Linked DNA regions of Drosophila melanogaster. The gene in region 1 interacts genetically with each later gene. Each region holds a gene or a part of one and is shown on either strand. Other genes may lie near its edges. The genes, in order: Cortactin, mim, Pvr and Src42A.

Region 1 (4,995 bases):
CCAACACGCACACTTTATCGTAATACCTCCTTGAAGTTTAATTTATACATCAACTTTATCAGTCAAAACTTTGATTTCGTCTGACACTTTTTTCGATTACGATCCGTCGCCAATAATTGCGATAAATCTTATCAAGTCTTTTTGGGATTGGCGCTCAAATTTACAATATGGCCGTACATCCTACTTATGTATGTTTTTTAACTAATTAATCACCACAATGCAAAGTACTCTTTCTTTGTTGAGCCCATATGCACTCACATTTGCACCATGAATCATGTCAGTAGCTCGTTTCATGTAACAATTTCTACTTTGCCAGATTACGATGCGTTCGGAACAGGCAGATAAGAATTCGGCCCATCCAAGAAAGGCCTTGACAGTTCTACCCCAAAATAGAGATATCCTCGTGATATTAGAAGGAACCCAACAATATGCTCGTTCTTATCTTCTTATAGAAATTTGTGAATTCCCGTATCCAATGAAATCATTTTACTTAGTAAAATGATTTGTTAGGCCTTAAAAAAAAACAAAAACACCCGAACTATCAGTACCACAATTTAAGAGAGAACTCGTTATTATTTAACTTTATTAATTATGTATTTCTTTATCAAAAGAGCAGACTTTTTGTTTGTGACTGTCTTCAACATTAGATCCGTCTTTAACATTAGATCAGATCACCTGACACGGGAAACTCTCGTAGACTTTATACAATTCAAAAAAACCAAAATCGTTACTTGACACAAATATCATAACTAATGCATAAAATATGAAATGAGAGATATCTAAAATAGCTTGGCATATTTTCTTGGTAAAATAAATGTGTTAAATACAAAGAATGTAAAATGCAATAAATGATACATATATCAAAAATGGAATACCACGGTTACTTTAAGTGCTAGCATAACAAATTACAATAATAATTCAATATCTAGCCATTCGTTGCACATAATTTGGAGGGTTAAGAGGGTAAACAATGGATGGGAAATGGGCTGGGTTAGTTGCGAATTGGTTTATATGGTTTATAATCCAACATCAGTATTATCGTTTTCGTTAGTATGTAAATACAATTTGATTTTGTTCTATCGTGAATTTCAATTGGAAGCTTTTATGAGTTCTGTCCCACCACCTGCACGTAGTTGGCTGGAAAGAGTCCGTAGCGGTTCTTGCACAATCCCCTCCACCACCCATCGTCGATCTTCTCGATGTGGGTGATCACGTCATCTGGATCAAAGGATATCTCGTCGTCATCCGCCGCCTGGTAGTCGTACAGGGCAATGGCGTGGATTCCGGTGTCCTCCAGATAGTCGGCCAAATTGTCTGAGTTCGCGTAGATTGCCTCCTCGGGAACGGTTGCGGTGCCACTCGGAGCAACAGCCTCTGAAACGGTTCCATTCGTTGGTGGCAAGGGCGAGGCAGCCTTAATCTCGGCCTGGTTCTGGTACAGTGGCTCTTCTTCAACTACTGGCTCAGGATCGGCTTGAGGTTGCGGCTCAGGTTGGACTTGGACTTGGGCGTGGACTTCGGGTTGAGGCGTCGGCACATACACTGGTGATTGCGGCTCACTTCTGGGAGGCGTGTCCACGGTCTCAACCTCAATTTGGGGCACCACATCTGGTGGTGGAGCTGCAGCCTTGGCCACTGGAGCTGTTTCCGGCTCTCGAGCGGGGACCACTGTCGGAGTAGGAGCAACCGCAGCTGATGTTGTACTTGCCGTTGGCTCCTCCTTTGCTTCTAATTCTATTTTAACAGGCTGCGCCTTGGGAATGATAATGGGTTCCTTTCGTGCTGGAGGGGTTTCAGAAACAGGCGACTGCATCTGGTTAAATGCACTGATAGCATTGCCAATGCCACCGGTCCGACCTGTCTGGATGGCCGCCCTGCTGCCCTTTGGAGGCGGTGCTTCCGTCGAGGTACGAGGAGTGTTCTCGGCCACAGTCTTCTTGGCGGCTTCCTCCCGATCCCGCTTGTCCTTGGCCTCACGGAGACGTTTCTGTTCCTCGGCCCGCTTACGTGACTCCTCCTCGGAGTTTTTAGCCAGATTCTCGAACTTGGCACGCAAATTGGAAGGCTTGGCACCTTCGATGACTGGCTTGACCTTGTGGTCCACCTGGCTGGCGTGCTTCTGCGGAGCCTCTTTGTGGTCCCATCCCACCGCGGACTTGTCCTTTCGGTCCTCCTGAACGCCAAACTTGCCGCCAAAGCCCTTGGAGTAATCTTATGTTGGGAGAAGATATAAATAAAATAATCAGACATGAACATACTAAGAAAAAATCAATGAGAAATTCATTTCCGTTAGGTAACTTACCCTTCTGAGACTCGTGCTTCTCCACCTTCTCGATGTGATCCCAGCCCACGGCGGATTTATCCACCCGATCGGACTGCACTCCAAATTTGCCTCCGAAGCCGGTGGCGTAATCCTTCTGGGAGGCGTGCTTCTCGACCTTTTCGACGTGGTCCCAGCCCACGGCAGACTTGTCCTTGCGATCCTCTTGCACTCCGAACTTTCCCCCAAAACCATCGCTGTAGTCCTTCTGCGAGGCGTGCTTTCCCACCTTGCCCTGGTAGTCATGACCCACAGCCGACTTGTCCATGCGGTCCTTCTCAACGCCAAACTTGCCCCCGTATCCGTATCCTGCGTTCTGATCCTTCAGCAGCTGCTTCTTCTTGTCCAGATCGGCCTGCTCCGTCTCCTCGCGCAGCTTGTCCATGCTAAAAAGAATAAAGAAAGGGAACAATGAACCCGATACCCAGTGTTTCGAGAATTTCGGATGACTCACTCGATGGTGCCTGCTGTGCGACCGCTGCCGTCGATCGTCTTTGATCCCCAGCGCTGCTCCTGCTCACTGACATCGTTCACGAAGTCCGGATCCGTCTCCCAGTCGTCGTCCTCCGCGGAGGCTGCACTGGTGGCCTGAATCTGGTGACCGGCACTTGCCTTCCACATTCTTTTTACCGGTTTCTGGTCGCTGGTTACTCGCTTATCCTTATCTGCTGGGTAGATAGATAAACACCATGACGAGTGTGAGTAGTCGGGGCAGGTTTTCAGTTGCAGGGGCTCCGCTTCCGATTCGTGGCCCAGATAACAAGTCACAAAACACCGAAGAAGGGAGGGGCCGACAAAGCCGGATCGGGAACAAGATGCCACTGGCGCTCTATGTTCATATGTATACTCACATCCCGATGACTAACTCCTACTGCAAGAGGAACTTATGATCTGATGCCGCTAGGGATGTCTGCAAATTTCTGGGAGGAGAAGGGTTAAACAATTGATTCATAAAGAGACCAACAAACGGGAAACTAACTGAACTAAATTTCATTCGATACAATGGATGCATCGATATGCTACGAAAAGCCGATAAATTATTGTGATGAGCTTGACAAAAGGTAGTTGCTGCAGTTTTAGGGGCGCCCAATTTAAATGATTAAGAGATACAGTCGTGGTTCTTTTACTTTATTCGATAAGTCAATGCACCGATATATACTGCAGTACCAATATATGTGATCGTGATCAATAGAACTGAGTGCTCGGGCAAAAGGTATTTGATGTTATACCAAGTGGCGCCATAGTAATTTGTATAATTAATAAGATTCTGCCAGAACGGTAATTAACAGGTATAAGAGTTGACTTTTTTCATATAACCGCAAACATATCATCGATATATCGATAGTTTTGGATTTGAATTTGCTTCGATGTCGGCTGACAATTAACGTAATTGGTTTTTATATATAGTTATAAAAATACAAATAAAAATAGTTATAAAACGGCTTAGGAAGGAACAGGATATTTATTTAACTGTATTGCCCTAACGGCTGAATATTGAAGTCAAAGGTTACATTTTGAAATTCAATGCGTAATCAGATCTTATTTTCCCAATGTCGTCATTATCACAACGGAAATATCATGAATGTCTCAACAGCTTCCAATGCCGATGATTCATCCATCTCGGAACACTTTAGATTCTACGGTGTATACTATGACGACGCAGAAGATACCAGCTTCCAGTTAGGCGCTACCACCGAATATTTCCTAGCAACAACAACCTATCGCCGGTTGGTTCATCTCTAATCGACTTCCAGCGAGAGAGCGCGAGTATAAAAGCCAAAGACGGAGCGCAAACAGCTATGGTATTTATTCACATCGCTTGCAGTTCGCATCGTCTGACTTGTACGTTGAAAATCGAATATCATTGGTAAATCAAAAGGAATTTGTAGATAAAACTCATTGTTTACTCTCGCTGTGCCAGAAATCGCAAAAAATCAAGCGGAAAATCAGTCGGAAAAGTGAGAAAAGAAAGTGTGTGCTAAACACTCAAAGATAATTTTCATTTGTGCCATTCCAAAATGGGCATTTTGTAGAATTCTAGTTGTGGGTGCGGTATCGCGAGAATTCTCCAGAATCTTGTTTCTCTATTTACTTTATATTTCAATAATAAAAGCCTCGGGTGGGAGAAAAATTCAAAACCGAAAGATGACATCATCAAACTCAAAAGCAAAAGCCCCACTCTTTTGGCGTTTTCTCTCGCGACGCGTGTGACTTTTCTCATCTCCGACGAAATCTAAGTAAACTTTTCTGTTCCTTTCTTGCTTTCCCATTTTACGTAGGAATGAGAAGCGGAATTTTTCGAAATATCTCTATCCCCCAGTGCCCTGCTTAATTTAGTAATTCAATCAACTTCAATTGCCCGACAGGCACTTCAAACTACAGTAAGCACTGTGTATGAGCGCCTGTGCCTTGCTCAGCATTACTCACCGGAATCGGATGTGGCCACATTCCACCGTCCACAAAATATAGTAGTAGTGTACTCGAGGCCGTGCAATTATAGTAGAATAGGTGTGTCATCAAGGTTTATTACTAAGTGAATTGCTCAGTGCATTTGCAAAACATTTTTGAAACATTTCGAGGTACAGTCCATCGAGGTCTCCAAAAGAAGTTGGCAAAAGCTTTTGTTTATGGAGTTTTTCACACATGGTCACGAGCTATTCCAGTTTTTACACCTA
Region 2 (5,013 bases), on another chromosome or scaffold:
CAGCCCACCCCAAGTGAAAACCGCTTGAGGCGAAGGCGAATCTCGGGTTGGATTAGACACGATTTTCATTAGGACGAACCCCGAAAATCGAAAGTGGTTACGAAAGATTCCACTCGAGTGGGCGATCCAGCAGTCTAGAGTCGCGGACTCATTCGAACTCAGATTCATTCAAACAACAAGGAACGCCCATGCAGTTCACCAATCAAACGAAAACGAAAATCTTTTTGTGAGTGGGCAGCGAGAAACTCGAATTGCAGCAGCGCAGCGACATGCTAAACAAATGCAGACATTCAGGCTAAGTGACTTAAAAGTTTTACAAGTTTTCAGCCGTTTTTTCTTGTTTACCAATTGAAAACAGTTGCCGCATTATAATGTAAAGAGGACGTAACAGCGGTTCCGAAAGGCGAGTATTAAAGATATATGAATAATGTACCAATTATTTTACATTTAGTGGGAAAAACTATTAGCGCCTTTAGAACTGAAGTGATCCAGCTAAAATACTGAATGGGGGTTTTGTGTTTACAGTAGGCTAAAGAACATTCAAAATATTACGAGTATTAATTTTTCGAAAACCATCAATGAGAAAACATATTTGCACAACAAACAGTTAACGTTTTTCCTTTGTTTTGGCCTTGCTCTCGTGCTTGTGAAAGAATGTTGTTGTTTCTATGCAACGGAGGTGGAGGTGGGGGTTGGTCAGTTGGAGCGGCCTTTCTCCATAGGACACAATATTTTTTTATATTCACTGGTATTTGTTTTTCTGCTTTTGTGAATTTCTGTTTGCATTTTGTTAAGGCGCAAGTGCCTGGTTTCTGTTTATATAAGCGTAGTAAGATCACCGAAAAAAGTTGCTCGTTTTCAAATTATAATATTTCACTTATTTTTATATTTTTATCATTTTAGTAAGAAGGAACATTAATTTCCTTCTCTTAGTATATCAAAATGTATGATTTTCCAATTTAGGTAAAACATTTAGGTTTCCTCCAAACGATCACGTTCGAAATACAGGTTTTTTCTCTCGGTGCAGGAGCAAGTTTCTTGCCAATGGCCGACAGCTGTTTGTGGCTAATTTTATCTTTCTTTCTGAGACCCTCTGTTGTTTTGGATTCTCTCGTTTTTGGCAATTGCACAGGTGCGGCAGTTGGATGGTTTGCGGATTGGGTTACTCCACGCGAATCAGATAGCCCAAGGCATCCTTTCGAATTTGAGTACTACTTTGTGTCTAAGCAGCGTATAGTATATACGATATAGCGACTTGGCGAATGCACCGGCCGACATTTCAGGCCAAACGGTCTCCGTTGCTGGAAAGTTCTGCATCATTTGTTTAGACAAATGCGCGAGAAAACATTCCCGGGACGTAAACAAACCCCGGCAATAATATTTTAATAATTACGCTTATCTGCTCCATTTGACGGCGCGCACAAAAGTCGTTTGAAAGGTATGCAAAGAGAACGAGACGTGCGATAAGGGAGCCGGGAATGGGAACTCAACTTTCGAGCATTTAGTCCGCACCATGGGTGTCAACGTGCCGCTCCGGTTCCTGTTGCGATTACGGGTTGAAAGGAACACAAAGCCGCCACCTCGCGAAAAAACGACCCATTCGGAGTCGGACAAAAAATTAGCTTGTTCAGATAAACCGAGTTCAGGTAACACAGTCCAAAGAGAAGTCCCTGCACTTGCGCAATTACCGCGCAACTTCAAAAGGGGAGTTGTGCACAGAGAAAACTTTATGGCAGTCGAAAAATCGGAAAATCTGACTTCGCACAAATTTTGTGGACCGAAAACACTTCACAGCACTTCATTGGCACAATTTGTCAAAAATCACTAAATGTATATTGTTTGACTTCAAGAGGTTTAATAATTCACTAATTTATCTTACAAAAAGAATTAGTTACATGAAATTGGTTGTTGATTTTGTTATAGAAATTATTATTATTATTATGTTGCTGGCCATCAAAGATATGTTTTCTTCAAAACAAAATTACAAATATATAAAACCTAAACATTTTTTATGAAACTCCTTTTTTTTAACGTGTATAACAAATCCTGTTTGGATTGGCCGTGAACGGAGTTTTCGGTTCTCACGACCGCCTGGAATGGTCACTGGAAGTCCTTGGACCTGGAATCGGTCCAAACTTGTTGTTGGTGAACTGCAGCTTCCATTCCCTCCCCTTACTCCATCCCCCTAGCCAACGCTCTTCGCCCCTCTCCCAACCCCAGTAATTGGCATTATTAGCCCACACTCGATTCTTTTTGTTGTTCTTGAAGGATACTTACGGTGCACTTCCGACTGTAAAATATCGCAGGGCGACTTTATGCAGCTTGCTTGATTTTTCGGCCGACGATGTTGCAGACAATTAGGCGATGATGTTGATGCTTGCACTTCTGCGGTCACGGTGTTGTTGTTGTTCTAGCATTGCATTTCCAGGCGGCAAAAGCGCACACAAAGGATAGAAGCGGTTGTGAGTGCGAGCGGGGTGTATTCTCCCGTTATTCCCCTCTATTTCCTCTCTCTCCTTCTTACGCCCAGTTTCGTGTGCTTTGCTTTTGCATTTGCTTTTCTTTGCTTTGTTCAAACTCAAACAAACTACCCCAGAACCGTTGATCCTGACTGCCTTGTTGTTGCTGCTGCTGCTGTTGTTGTTGTTGTTTTGTTTTCTGTTATGTTATACACTCACAGACACACGTACACACACGCACACAGTGGGCTGGCAGACAGACGCTTAATTTTCCGTTTTCCTCGGGAAATCGCAAACAATTATTCGCTTATTTTTGCACCGAATCTGACACTTATATGCTCGCACTTCGAACTGCACTTCCAATTGGTTCGCGCATTCCTTTTCCGGTTAGAAAACAGTTAGAAGTTTGCCGCTGCAACCGCTATTTTCGCCAAGTCTACGACTGACTTTCCGAGCGCATTTTCGTTTTCCTCCGGTGCGAAAGGGCTTTCCTATAGACAAACAAAAAACCGTAAAACAACCGCGACCGATTCGTTCGAGAGTCGAGTGTCTGGGTCAGTGTGACCATCGCTCGAAGCTGGGAAAATACACCTCTGTAGTGTGACCACGTCTAGGAAAAATCACTTGGCAGCGAGGTCACATTCGCTGTTAACCGTTCTGCGAATCGGGAATGTTACCTATCATGCAAACTTTTAAAATTGAAAATATGGTTATTTTTGGCGCGTTCGATGTTCCAGTTGACATAAAAGTCAATTGAATAAAAAACCAAAAATTTTGTTATAAAAATTTGAAGAGAATAACTCATGTTTTAGAGTAGAGTTCCTAGGAAACGGAAGTGCCGAAGACATTAACTAAGCACTCGGGCTAAATGAGTGTTAATTTGGAAAACCATGAATTCTATAGATTGAAAACAAATTATATAAATTTAACGTCGTTTACTTTAAATAATGGCCTCTGCATTTGCTGCAAATTCACCTTTTATGCATAGAATTCTTTTTAAGAGTCCTATTTTCCGATGGTATGAAAGTGTTCGATATAACAACTAAATTATTTATTTGTTCACGTTGTTGAGCTTGGTGCAAAAGATTATAAAAGTCATCGTCAGCATTATCACACAAGTCCACAGCTTAGGAAAATCAACGAAAAAGGTGCATATACAAATATAAAAACAACTTAAACGCTTTGTAAAGCAAACAATACAAAATATGCGATGCTCCAGCAGAGCCTCCTTTAAAGCTTGTCCACCCGTTCCACACTGAGTTTGATGTCCGACTTGGGCATCAAGAGCAGTCTCCGGTTGTCGTACTCCACGGGAATCGAGGTCTCCGCAGAGGGAGCGTATCTGTGCTGCCTCAGCAGAGCCACCAGGCCCACCAGAAGCTGCTGCTCTGCAAAGCGAGCGGCAATGCATCCTCGCAGGCCATCGCCGAAAGGCAGGAACGCAGCTGCCGGGCGGGATCGCCTTGCCTGTTCCTCAAAGCGCTCCGGGTAGAACCGCTGGGGGTTTTCATAAATGCCAGGATCCATGTGTATCGCCGCCGTTGGTATCAGCACATTGTTGCCTTTGGCAATTACAAACACCGATCCGGGCACTTCGAATTCTTTGGTAGCCCGGCGTAGCAGGAAGGGATGTGGAGTGTGCAGGCGAAGCGTTTCTAAAAAAAAGGTGAAGTCATTGGAGCTATAAAGAGCTTTTCAATATTTGGTACTCACCATTGAGGACTTGCTTCGTATACCTGAGCTCCCTTAGGCACTCCGGTGTCACTTGGCCACCATGCTCCTCCAGTGCCTTGTTAATCTCGAGCCTGGTTCGATCTTGCACCTCAGGCTGGCGGGCCAACTCGTAGAGGCAGAATGCTAGGGTGGCATTCAGGGGGCCCAAGCCAGCCAGAACGAAGCCGAAGGCTTGGCCCGCAATCTCGATGTCGGTGAGCGGCTTTTCTGCGTTGGAATATAGCTGCAGAAAGGTCTGGAGTGGCTGGCGATCCCTTCTTCGATGCAACTGCAACTGCGACAGGGCCACTTTTTGGAAGTAAGCTGTAGCAGGTTCTGCGTAGCTTTTGTACTGAAGAAGGCGAGCGATGAGCGGAAACTCAAGCGCCAGATAAGCCTGCCACATCCTAAAGTCCGCCCAGTAGTTGCGCGTCCACTTAGCGAACTCCACGTTATCCTGCCCTACTAGTCCAAAGGCCATTGACGCCATAACGTCCGTATTGTATGCACCCACGAGTTCGCTTATATTGATAGTTTGAAGGCTCTTTTCGCCCAGGTCCCTTTGAATTCTGGAGGAGATTTGCGACAGTCTGACCAGCAGCTTCTGCATGTTGGCCGGAGTGAAAACCTCTGCAGATTTGGCGTGCAGTGACCGCCACTTGTGACCGTCCAGCTGAAGGAGATTATGCGACAGCGGCTCTCCACTGGGATTACTATAAAGGCCTCGGGACGTAAAGTGTCCCGCGTCGGTGAAGATTATTTGGTGGACTAGCTTCAGGTCCAGCGCCAAGATGAACGGCTTGAGGCAGGCGTAGAATCCCACAAACGGCGCCCTGCCCTT
Region 3 (4,694 bases), on another chromosome or scaffold:
CTTTATTTTTCGGTTGTATAACTCTTCAGTTGTCACTCGAGAGATTTGGAAAAGTTGTTTCTTTTCTTTTCCATAAACTGGGAACTTAATAAAAATAATAGAAAGACCATTGCCGGTGAAATTGAATCGTTGGCATTCTGCCCACATATTATACAACTACAACGCGTGGCGACAACAAGTTGGTTGGTTGGCCAGCTGCTGGCGAATAAATAGAAATGTTATATGCGTTCACTTAATAGCCGACAAGTGTTTAATTTGTTTGTTTTGGGTTTCGCCCGATTAATAAATAAATATGGCCAATGTATATAGCCCATTTAGTGCCTCGCCGTGACCTCAAAACATGGCTCAATTTTATGCGATTTGTTTACTCAATGCATTTTTTGTTTTGACTGGCTGGCTGCCTTCTGCCATTTTATTCCCGACGGAAATAAGATTGCTTTTATATATATATATACATATATTTTCTTATTTCCCTGATTCTCCGAAGTGCACTTGATTACGTGCAGTTTATGGGGCAGATAAAATTTTCCCAACGAATGGGCTTTAGTCTAAAGTTTCCAGCGCTTATGAATGGGCTTTAGTCTAGGGCTCAGGTGAAAGCCAATTGCCTGCTTAGCCTTTTTTTTTGCAGATTTATGGCCAAGTTATTTCCACCTCTCCATGCAGACAGTTACAATGGCCTGGCCAAAACATTTGTTGTCCGCTGTCAATTTATTATTTGTTATTTATTATTTACGTTCTGACTCAGACCACGGCGGATGTAAAGAGGCGAAGGTGTCCATTCATAGAATGCCAAACCAACCAACCAACCAGCCAGCCAACCAACAAAGTGGTGTGAAAACGTGTTCAATGCTGGCCGAGATTGTCCAACGAATCGGTTTTATTTATGGCTTATTGGTAACCGGCAAATTCAATTAAACAGATATTATCTTAAATGGAAATTTATGAGCCAATTCGCCCAAAGAGTTAAGGGGTTTCTCAAAAATGTTTCAGCTTATCCGAACTGCCTTAGAGAAACGCAAAATGATTTTTCTCTCTACAGATGTACAAAATGTACCTAAACTCAATTCTAGTGTTTTTATCTACAACAGGAAGTCAATCTTCTGTGCATAAGCAATCCTCTTGAGATTAAAAAGATCTCTTGTGCAATAATACATATCAGCATTCTAAATATCTCTAGAGATATTACAATCGCTTGAAATGCACACAAATTCGTTGTCACACACATTCTTTGATTATTTTGAAGTCTATTTTCGGCGAGTTCTGCTTAAATATTTTGTGTGTATTTATAATTAGTTTCTATTAATGCGAAAGAACTACTTTGTTCATTTTTTCCAGTGCATACAAAGTAATTTATTCGTAATGGAGCTCTCTACTTCAGCACAATCAACTACAGTAAAGTATCTCTAATTTGACACCCACTGCGGGGGGCGGGGCAGGTGTGCGTATCTGGTGGATACTTGGCCATAAGCCCCACCTGATTAATGTGCCATGTGCATAATGGGTAGGTGTGAAAAAGAGGTGCAAGTGGCCAGTAGCAATGTGATGGGTGCACATTTTCCAAGAACCACTAGTATCCATTGATTATTCTGGCTTATCACAACAGTTGTTCAACGCTTGATGCCAGGTGAATTGCGAATTTGGCCAGGGGAATTACAATAAATATTTCATCAACACCATTCGCGGACATTTTTATGACTCCAAACTTTGACGATTCGTAGCAGTTTTGTACCACATTTTCCGGACATTGAGAACGATGGCAATTAACAACAGCCTGGGCTGGGCAGCCTTTTGAAGTGGCCAGAGATAAATGGAGCAGTCGGCAAACTGAAGGAGGTCTGTATTCAATAAACAAATTGGGCACAGTGTGCAATTGGAGGCAATGAATTATGGGCATCTGATTTGATCAGAACTTCTCGATCCTGAGTCACGTATTGGGGGAAAATGTATCAACAGTTCGTTTGGTCAAGAAACGGATGGCGTGGAACCGGTTTAAGAAAGTCGCTATAGACACATTCAGTTGACCAGGCAAACAAAAGAAAGGTGAACCCTTTCTTCTATATATATATGTACATATATATGTATATATACCAACTTTATTTGGGTGTTTCTGGAAAAGCAGTATGAGTAAATTCGAAATCCATCGTAGTGTTATTCATATTTTCATAGTCTTACGCAGTCTACCGTTTGATCGCAGCAGCTTGGCAACAACAACAACTATTGAAGATACAACAACAACTTTTGAACGTACAACAGTCACGATCGGCGATGAATCACGATTTGAATACCTGGCACCGGTGGATGTTTGCAGTCTTGATTACTTGGAATGCCGCTGACGTATTCACCATAGACACACGCACACTTTTCGTAGACCCAACACTTATATGCACTTATCAATGAATAATACCAGGCAGTGATAATAGCACACACACACACACACGCACTTAGAAAAAGGTCACTGATAATAGTTCATTATGTACACCATCTATAGGAGCATAGTGACCATGACTATTTTGGGTGTTTTTTTTTTGTATAATTGCATCGAATTGAGCAACATCACGAGCGCCGAATTCGATTTCGATTTTCGAGCTTACGATTGACAATCACTTAGAACTCTTGTCAACCACCTGTGGCTGAGTTTGCACTTGTATTCGAATTCCGATTCGTATCTGTGTTTGTTTTTTACTTTTGCGAAGGTGTGGGGGTTCGCTCACATCGATATCTAAACTTTTGAGTGCGGATTCATTTGCTTAGCACCTTTGATGCTTCACTTATACTTATATACGACACGATTTGGTTTCGTTTCCACACGATTCTATATCTATATTATCGGACGTATCTTCGAGCCTTTCAAAAATTAACGCTTACGTTGTGGTTTTCTGTGCTTAACACTTTCTGCGTGGGGCACTTCAGCAGTATCGGTTGCTCTTGAAAGACAATAAATACTGCGTCGTCGGCAAAGTTTGAACAGTTTGCACCGAACACAAGTCAAAAGCCCGCGAAATTTCCTTCCGCTTTGACGTCCGAACAGCTCGAAAAGTTAACGTTAACTAGAGCTGGGGCACTATCGACGGTACTATCGAGGTATCCGATTCGATTGTTATTTTTTGCTATCGATGAGCGTTATCTACAGCATGTAGAATAGAACGGATAGAATAATATTTTTGTTATATCTTTAGTCAACATCATTTGAATTTTCTTGTTTCGTTAGGGAGTTTATCTCTCGTTTAGTTTCCTTTTATTATTATTTCATTATTATTTTGAAAGGTGAAGTGTACTAAATAACGAGCTAAAAATTGAACGCAATCACGCTATTCGCGGCGATGCCAGACCGCTTGAAAACAGTTCCAGTTGGCCAGTGGCGGCCAGTGATGCCATGCGTACTAAATTTCCTAACGGTTTTAGTTTTAGATCGAAGTGCTTAAAATAAAGTTTTCTTTTATTAAATAATATTTAGTATCATTTAAGCATTTCTAACGATTTGTCAGCTGAGTAAGGGGATTGTGATTTATAAGGGTCTCGACTATAGCATTTTCACTACTTTCCACCTATTAAATATTTTCAGGAAACTGGTAAATCCTTTTATTCTACAATAAAGTATAATACAATTTCCATTTATTATTGATAAGAAATAGTACATTTTATTCATTCGGTTTCACAAAGTGGCCCTGGAAATAAATGGTTTCCCTATCGCGAATGACATAGGCAAAAGGATGATCGGCATTAAAAACCATTTGAGATGACGGCATAGGCATACTATAGCGCACGAAAAGTAAAGCTGGCAAAAATAAAACATATTATACAAATATATATATAATAAAATTATATCATACCTGTTGCAGCCGCTGCCTCAGCTCCTTCTTCATTAACCTCGATGAACGCCTTATGAATGACTTTTTTCACATGAACGTTACTGTTTTCGACCAGATCTTTGAAGTCAGCAGATTTTTCGAACGCATCTTGTATGCCCATCTATAGATGAATATCTATAAATTGTAAGGGTGTATCAAGAATAATCTGTGAATACTCACCGCCACAAGAACTTTGTTTAGTTGAGCGAAGAATTCGATTTTAAACTTGGGAAGCCTTAAAGTTACATCCATTTTGGAAAGTTTCGGTTTGAATCCTACAATCTTTTTCTCCAGCTCTGATAGTCCATCGACCTGGTCCGGTAGAAAAATTAGCATGGACAGGCTTGAATTTCTGTAGGGCAGCTCGATAATTTTGGCACCCAGTTCACTATCATGTGCGGCCCTAAATGATTGAAATAGTGACATCATCTCGACAGGAACACTCTTTTGATCCGAAACACGGAAATTCCTCTTCTTCGTTAACTTGGGATTAAATTTGTACTCCCACTGGCCTTTAAAGTATATGGCATTTAAGACGATCAATTCCATTTTCGACATGTCATTGGATGAAACTAAGTCTTTGATTTTACCACGCGTCTGATTATCTACCCAATTATTGACAATTGAAGAAGCCTTATTGGGATCGACAATGTCGATTGCCTCCGCTTCAGCCATAAATGAATCCTTGACCATCTGATTGTAACTCGGTACTAGCTGGAACTTTTTGTTCACGTATATGCGATTAGCCAAACTGAGAGTGGCTACCTTCTCGCGTCCTTCGAGTTTACTCAGAAGGTCCTTGTATTTGGCTGCCACTTCCTTTTTGTCATCGGGCAGTTTCAA
Region 4 (4,841 bases), on another chromosome or scaffold:
TAAACACCAACAATAACCATAACAGCAACGACGTTGTATAAAACCAGTTGAACCCGTCTTGTTTTCGAAAGGCTATTGAAAGCTCTGATGCATATAGTAATCTATATCTTTTAGCAGTTTTTGTCACGAGTCGGACGTCAAGGACTAATACTGTCGTGTACCAAGAAATTATATTTTTATTCCTGTAGTTGAAGATAAAAAGCGGAAATTAGATTCGTTGAAAAGTATATATAAAATGTATATATATATATATATTCTTGATCGAAACATATCCGGGAACATTTTGCTTTATTGAAACAATTTTAAAACCCTGTACCTTTTACAGTCAACATCTAGCGAATTAGACAGCCGTAGGTGGACTTCAGAGGAATCGGTATATGATATTTTAAAAATATCTTTAAAATGTTTTAAAAACATTAGTAGAAAATCGTTGTGTTTTACAATATTTTACACATTCTTACATACGTTAAGTTGTACAAAAAGACCAAAATTGTTCGAGTGTTTTAAAGATTTGTATAGTTTTTGTTACTAACCGAGTATGAACAAAAAGACTACGGTGCGTTTATCCCTGAATAAAAGCTCAACTCACACCGAACTTGTTGACTGACCTATGGTAACCGATTCGAAGCATGGTCATTACAAAATATCGCTCGATGTGTTTTCGGTTGCTTGTGTGGGAGTTTTTTTTTTTTACGGTAACGCGTGCCAAGAAAACTGAACAAGACGAACATAATAACGGGTATAATGAGCTGCAGAGCGAGTGGAATGGAGTGCGATTGGCGAAGTCTTTGTTGTCGTTGTTTCTGAAAGGTAACAATTGCACTCAAAGGTACTACGACCCAAATTGAACCGGTTTAACGTTTTTTATGTTTGTCTGCTTTTTTGTTATTTCCTTCTAGTGCGCCAATCCACAACTAGTAAACCTCGAAAATCAAACACTAACTCTTTCTGTTGCCATTCGACATGATGGTTTTCAGCCAAATCTGTGAGCGAGTCTACGTTGCGTAGCCAAAAAAAAGTGAATCATTGCAAGAGAGCGATAGGAATTAAGAAGCTGTGTGATGCCGTCTAATTTATAGCTTTTGTGCGTACTTTCTCCGTGACTCCAAAAAAATTTAATGCAAATAACATTGTGATTCGCTTGCTGCGCTCCATTAATGTGGAAATCAAAAGTAAGCTATTTGGCCAGCAAAAACATAGCCATTGACCGACAACCTCAACCAACACAACAAAACTTATGGTAAAAAAAAGTTTGGCTTTGATTTTATGACCGTGATTTAGGTCATTGCACAATGGTGACGAGACTTAGTTCCCTTCCACTCATGGAATTCGAATTTATTCGATATGTCGAACTTTTCATATATATTAATATCCGCGACATTCGTGTACTTAATTTAATAAAAAAATTGTTTTTTTAAGAGAGAAACTAAAAGAAATTGAACGTCCTTCACATTCATCAAATATTTTGTGGCGCCAACACTCTTAAAAAAACAAGAGAAAACACCAAAGCGAGTTCTTTGACTAACAAATACCCGTTACTCAAAAAAGAGAAGTGCAAGGACGACGCAAATATTCCAGTAGGAACGTGACTCCGAGATTGCACATATATGCTTTAAAAACCACATTTATTTTATTCCCTTACTGTATTTATTTATTCTAACTGAAAACAAAGTATCGTCAGCGTATGTATAAGAGGTTTTTGGGAAAGTGCACGGTCCACAGTTAATAGCTTAAGTGGCAGGAGCTGAAGAGAGAACCAATGAACTGAAAGGAGTAATTCGAAGGGATCACAATCAGAGGTTACAGCTCGGAATGCCAACAACAAAGAGCGGACCACGAAGCCAGCTACCATAAACAATGAGCTTTTTTGCCTCTCTTTAGCTCATCTGGAGCTCCACACTCAATACCATGAAAGCAATTTTCATGTGTTTTTCAACTGAATATTTTGTATCTGTATCTTTATCTTTTTTCTGCTACCACTGCTGTTGTTAAGCGACTCCGACTGACAGGCATGACTCATGACGCAGGAAATTTACGACCACGGCACAGTGCAGCAAGAGAAGGCTGAAAAGCGATATAAAAGAAGGCCCTAAACTCCGCTAATTCCAAGCCTGAGAGCCAACTTAAATCTTAGCCTAAACGCAAAGAATATGTGCGAAATGGCGCAGTTTGCCCAAGTCACGTAAGTCGAAATTGATATGATTTCTGAGGCCTGGTATGGTGTCTGAAAAAAAAAAACGCCGTGGAAGTGCACAGCAGTGTATAAGAAAGTTCATGTGCACGGAACTGAGCGCTTTAGCACTTACAAAAATGTATCACCCGTTTGGCAAGCCAGTTGTGCATTTTAGCACATAGTAAACGATAAAGTTCGCAACAACTTGAGGACGACTTTGTGGGCTGTCAGGCATTGCATAACCAGATTCGCAGGAATTCTCTTACGAAATAAGCTCGACTTTGTATTCCGCACGGAATACACCGTTCTAATTCCAGCGGCATGCGCCGAGGCAAAGAAAATATGTTTGCATGACCAGCGAAACACACGCGAAACAGTAAAGAAAATAGAAAGTTCTGTTCCCATCTTTTTCTGAGTTCGGATCCACCAGAGGAATGTTCCGCACACTGCAGCTTCCCTGGGCTTGTACCTTTTCCAGTTTTGCTGCTACTGCTGCTCTTGTTACCACTTATCCATATCAAAGTGGGGTTTTACTTGAGGCACTTTTGAACAAAGAAAACACTGACTGTTAGAAGTATGCCAACAACACAAACAGGTCGCGCATGCGCCGCACAGTGCATCTAGTGGCTCTGTGGTGGCTTGTGGATAATAGATTATATAGATTTCATCGGCCCGTGAACGAAAAAACTTGTAAGCGCGGTAGGCGAGCTTTGGCCAAATTCGATTAAGGCATTTAACTCAGATTCGGATTCGATTTCCTATGTGCTGCGTGTACGGGCGCTATTCCGATTTCCGAGCCGTTTTCGTGCGGCTTCCGTTTACACGTCCGTTTTGTGCACCGCTTCGCAGACAACTGATACGTTTATGAAATTTTTATAGAAAGGTTTTAACCGCTTGCCACCGCACCGACACACTCGCACCCGCCGCCTTGGCATCTATGTGTGTGCCATTTGAGCCAAGCTCGCTGCCCGCGTGTTGGCCAACCGTTCCCGCTCTCTCGCTCTTCGATCCATCTTTGTGTGCTTAGTCTCTTTTATCTTGGCCCAGAAGTCCAATGGCTCGTCGAAGAGTGGTCTCGCTCTTCGTCTCCAAGTGCCTCTCTCTTAAGATGCTCCGAGATAAACTGCACAGTTTTGTAATTACGACAACAATTAGTCACAAAGTGCGTTGATTGCAAAGATCAAATCGAGTTGAAAACAATTAACTCGTCGCTGTTACTGACAAAATGTCAGGTTGTATTAATTTGTTCACGTAACCAAAATAACTCAGCACTGTCGCGTCACTGGAAATCAAATTATTTGTTTCTAAATGTCTCCGCTTGGGTTCTTGTGAACGCCATTGAACTCGTCATTGATAAGGTATGCTATGGAACATTGCTGAAATAGAAAATATTAGAGTCTACATCGTGGGAATACTAATGGCTAGTATCCAATCCAGAAGGGACTCGCAGTGGGGACTCGCGCCTGGACATACCATTTAATATTAAGAATATATTAACGAATACCTGGGGATATTTTGCGAAAAGTCGGAGGGCAAAATCTATAAACATAGTCGTTAGTCACTTTGATTTAACACTTGACCAAATATGAGTGTTCCTGAGCTCCCTTATGTAAATAGAAATTCATGTGCACATATAAACACATGTGTTTACGTCGATGGCTCAGATTCTCCGTTTCCCTGACCACAAAACCCTTAAATACTGAAATATTGGGACTTACCTGGAAATAAAAAGTAAACAGAAAGTGTTAAATGTTAACTTTAACGGGTTGTGTAATGCAAAATAAATAAATAAAAGGACACTTTTATAAAAACGTTAGGCAGTATGGCCAATATCACTGAAGTATACGGTTATCTAACTTAGCAGTATATTCTTTTTTCATTTTAAATTAACTTTTACAATATTACAGCACAAAGTCACAGCTTACAGGTCGTATAACTGAAATCAAATCTAGCCACACACCAAACTGTATCGACAAAATGCGATTTCGTCTCCTTCTACTGTCCTAATCTGATTGAAATGTGTGTATTTACCTCTACGTAAATTACGAGTCAATTAATGCCCAGCCAGACTAGGTGAATATTTGCTTCCTGTGCAATTTTACGCTAATTCAAATTCCTATAACATCAACACGTTCACCGTTAGTATATGTAGTCTTTATCGGACGTATCAGCTAAAAATTAACACTATATCACTGAGTCAATTAAAATGTAGTCGTTCGACCTTCCTGGAGAGCGACGACCGAGTCTGTTGTCACTTATGTTTTTTTTTAGCTACTGACAAATTATTAAAACAATTGCCTTCTATTGAGTATTATTGACTTGCCACAAACTCGAATGATTTGTCTACACACACACACACTTCACCTGAGCCGAAAGAAGAACGCTCAACTAAATCGGAACTTCACCACGCATGAACACAGGGAAATATGAATAAATGCCGACACGGCTCTTGCATGTGGCTCTCTAAAACAATTGCCTTCTCTTCGTGGGTTCAACGACATTTTCTGATGTCATGTTCAATAACAATTGCAGCCTATAGTGGCAACGGGAGTAAAATAAAGGATGGCTTGAATTATTAATGAATAATGAATACGGAGGTTCAAAAAATACTAAATTCGCTGCATATGAGCTGAAATTATAATTATTTGGAAAATCGGACCCATTTATT

What was found.
Region 2: of Cortactin (region 1) and mim, changing one suppresses a phenotype caused by changing the other (phenotypic suppression), as found in Drosophila melanogaster (one study listed by BioGRID).
Region 3: of Cortactin (region 1) and Pvr, changing one suppresses a phenotype caused by changing the other (phenotypic suppression), as found in Drosophila melanogaster (one study listed by BioGRID).
Region 4: of Cortactin (region 1) and Src42A, changing one suppresses a phenotype caused by changing the other (phenotypic suppression), as found in Drosophila melanogaster (one study listed by BioGRID).

What each region holds. Positions count from the first base shown.
Region 1 is NT_033777.3:21,061,124-21,066,118, forward strand, and holds Cortactin (cortactin), read right to left. Parts: upstream 3,349-4,995; 5' UTR 3,300-3,348; exon of another isoform or gene 3,241-3,299; 5' UTR 3,172-3,240; intron 2,989-3,171; exon of another isoform or gene 2,986-2,988; 5' UTR 2,942-2,985; coding exon 2,775-2,941; intron 2,707-2,774; coding exon 2,303-2,706; intron 2,212-2,302; coding exon 1,103-2,211; 3' UTR 557-1,102; downstream 1-556.
Region 2 is NT_033778.4:6,968,616-6,973,628, forward strand, and holds the start of mim (missing-in-metastasis), read right to left. Parts: upstream 3,023-5,013; 5' UTR 2,278-3,022; intron 1-2,277. Other genes in the region: Cyp6u1 (cytochrome P450 6u1), read right to left, coding at 3,690-4,114, 4,173-5,013.
Region 3 is NT_033779.5:8,236,824-8,241,517, forward strand, and holds the start of Pvr (PDGF- and VEGF-receptor related), read right to left. Parts: upstream 3,056-4,694; 5' UTR 2,869-3,055; exon of another isoform or gene 2,096-2,868; intron 1-2,095. Other genes in the region: Spn28F (serpin 28F), read right to left, coding at 3,642-3,778, 3,834-3,972, 4,032-4,694.
Region 4 is NT_033778.4:5,991,179-5,996,019, reverse strand, and holds the start of Src42A (Src oncogene at 42A), read right to left. Parts: upstream 3,029-4,841; 5' UTR 2,643-3,028; intron 1-2,642. UniProt on the Drosophila melanogaster protein: Required directly or indirectly for the phosphorylation of drpr which is necessary for the interaction of drpr with shark and subsequent glial phagocytic activity.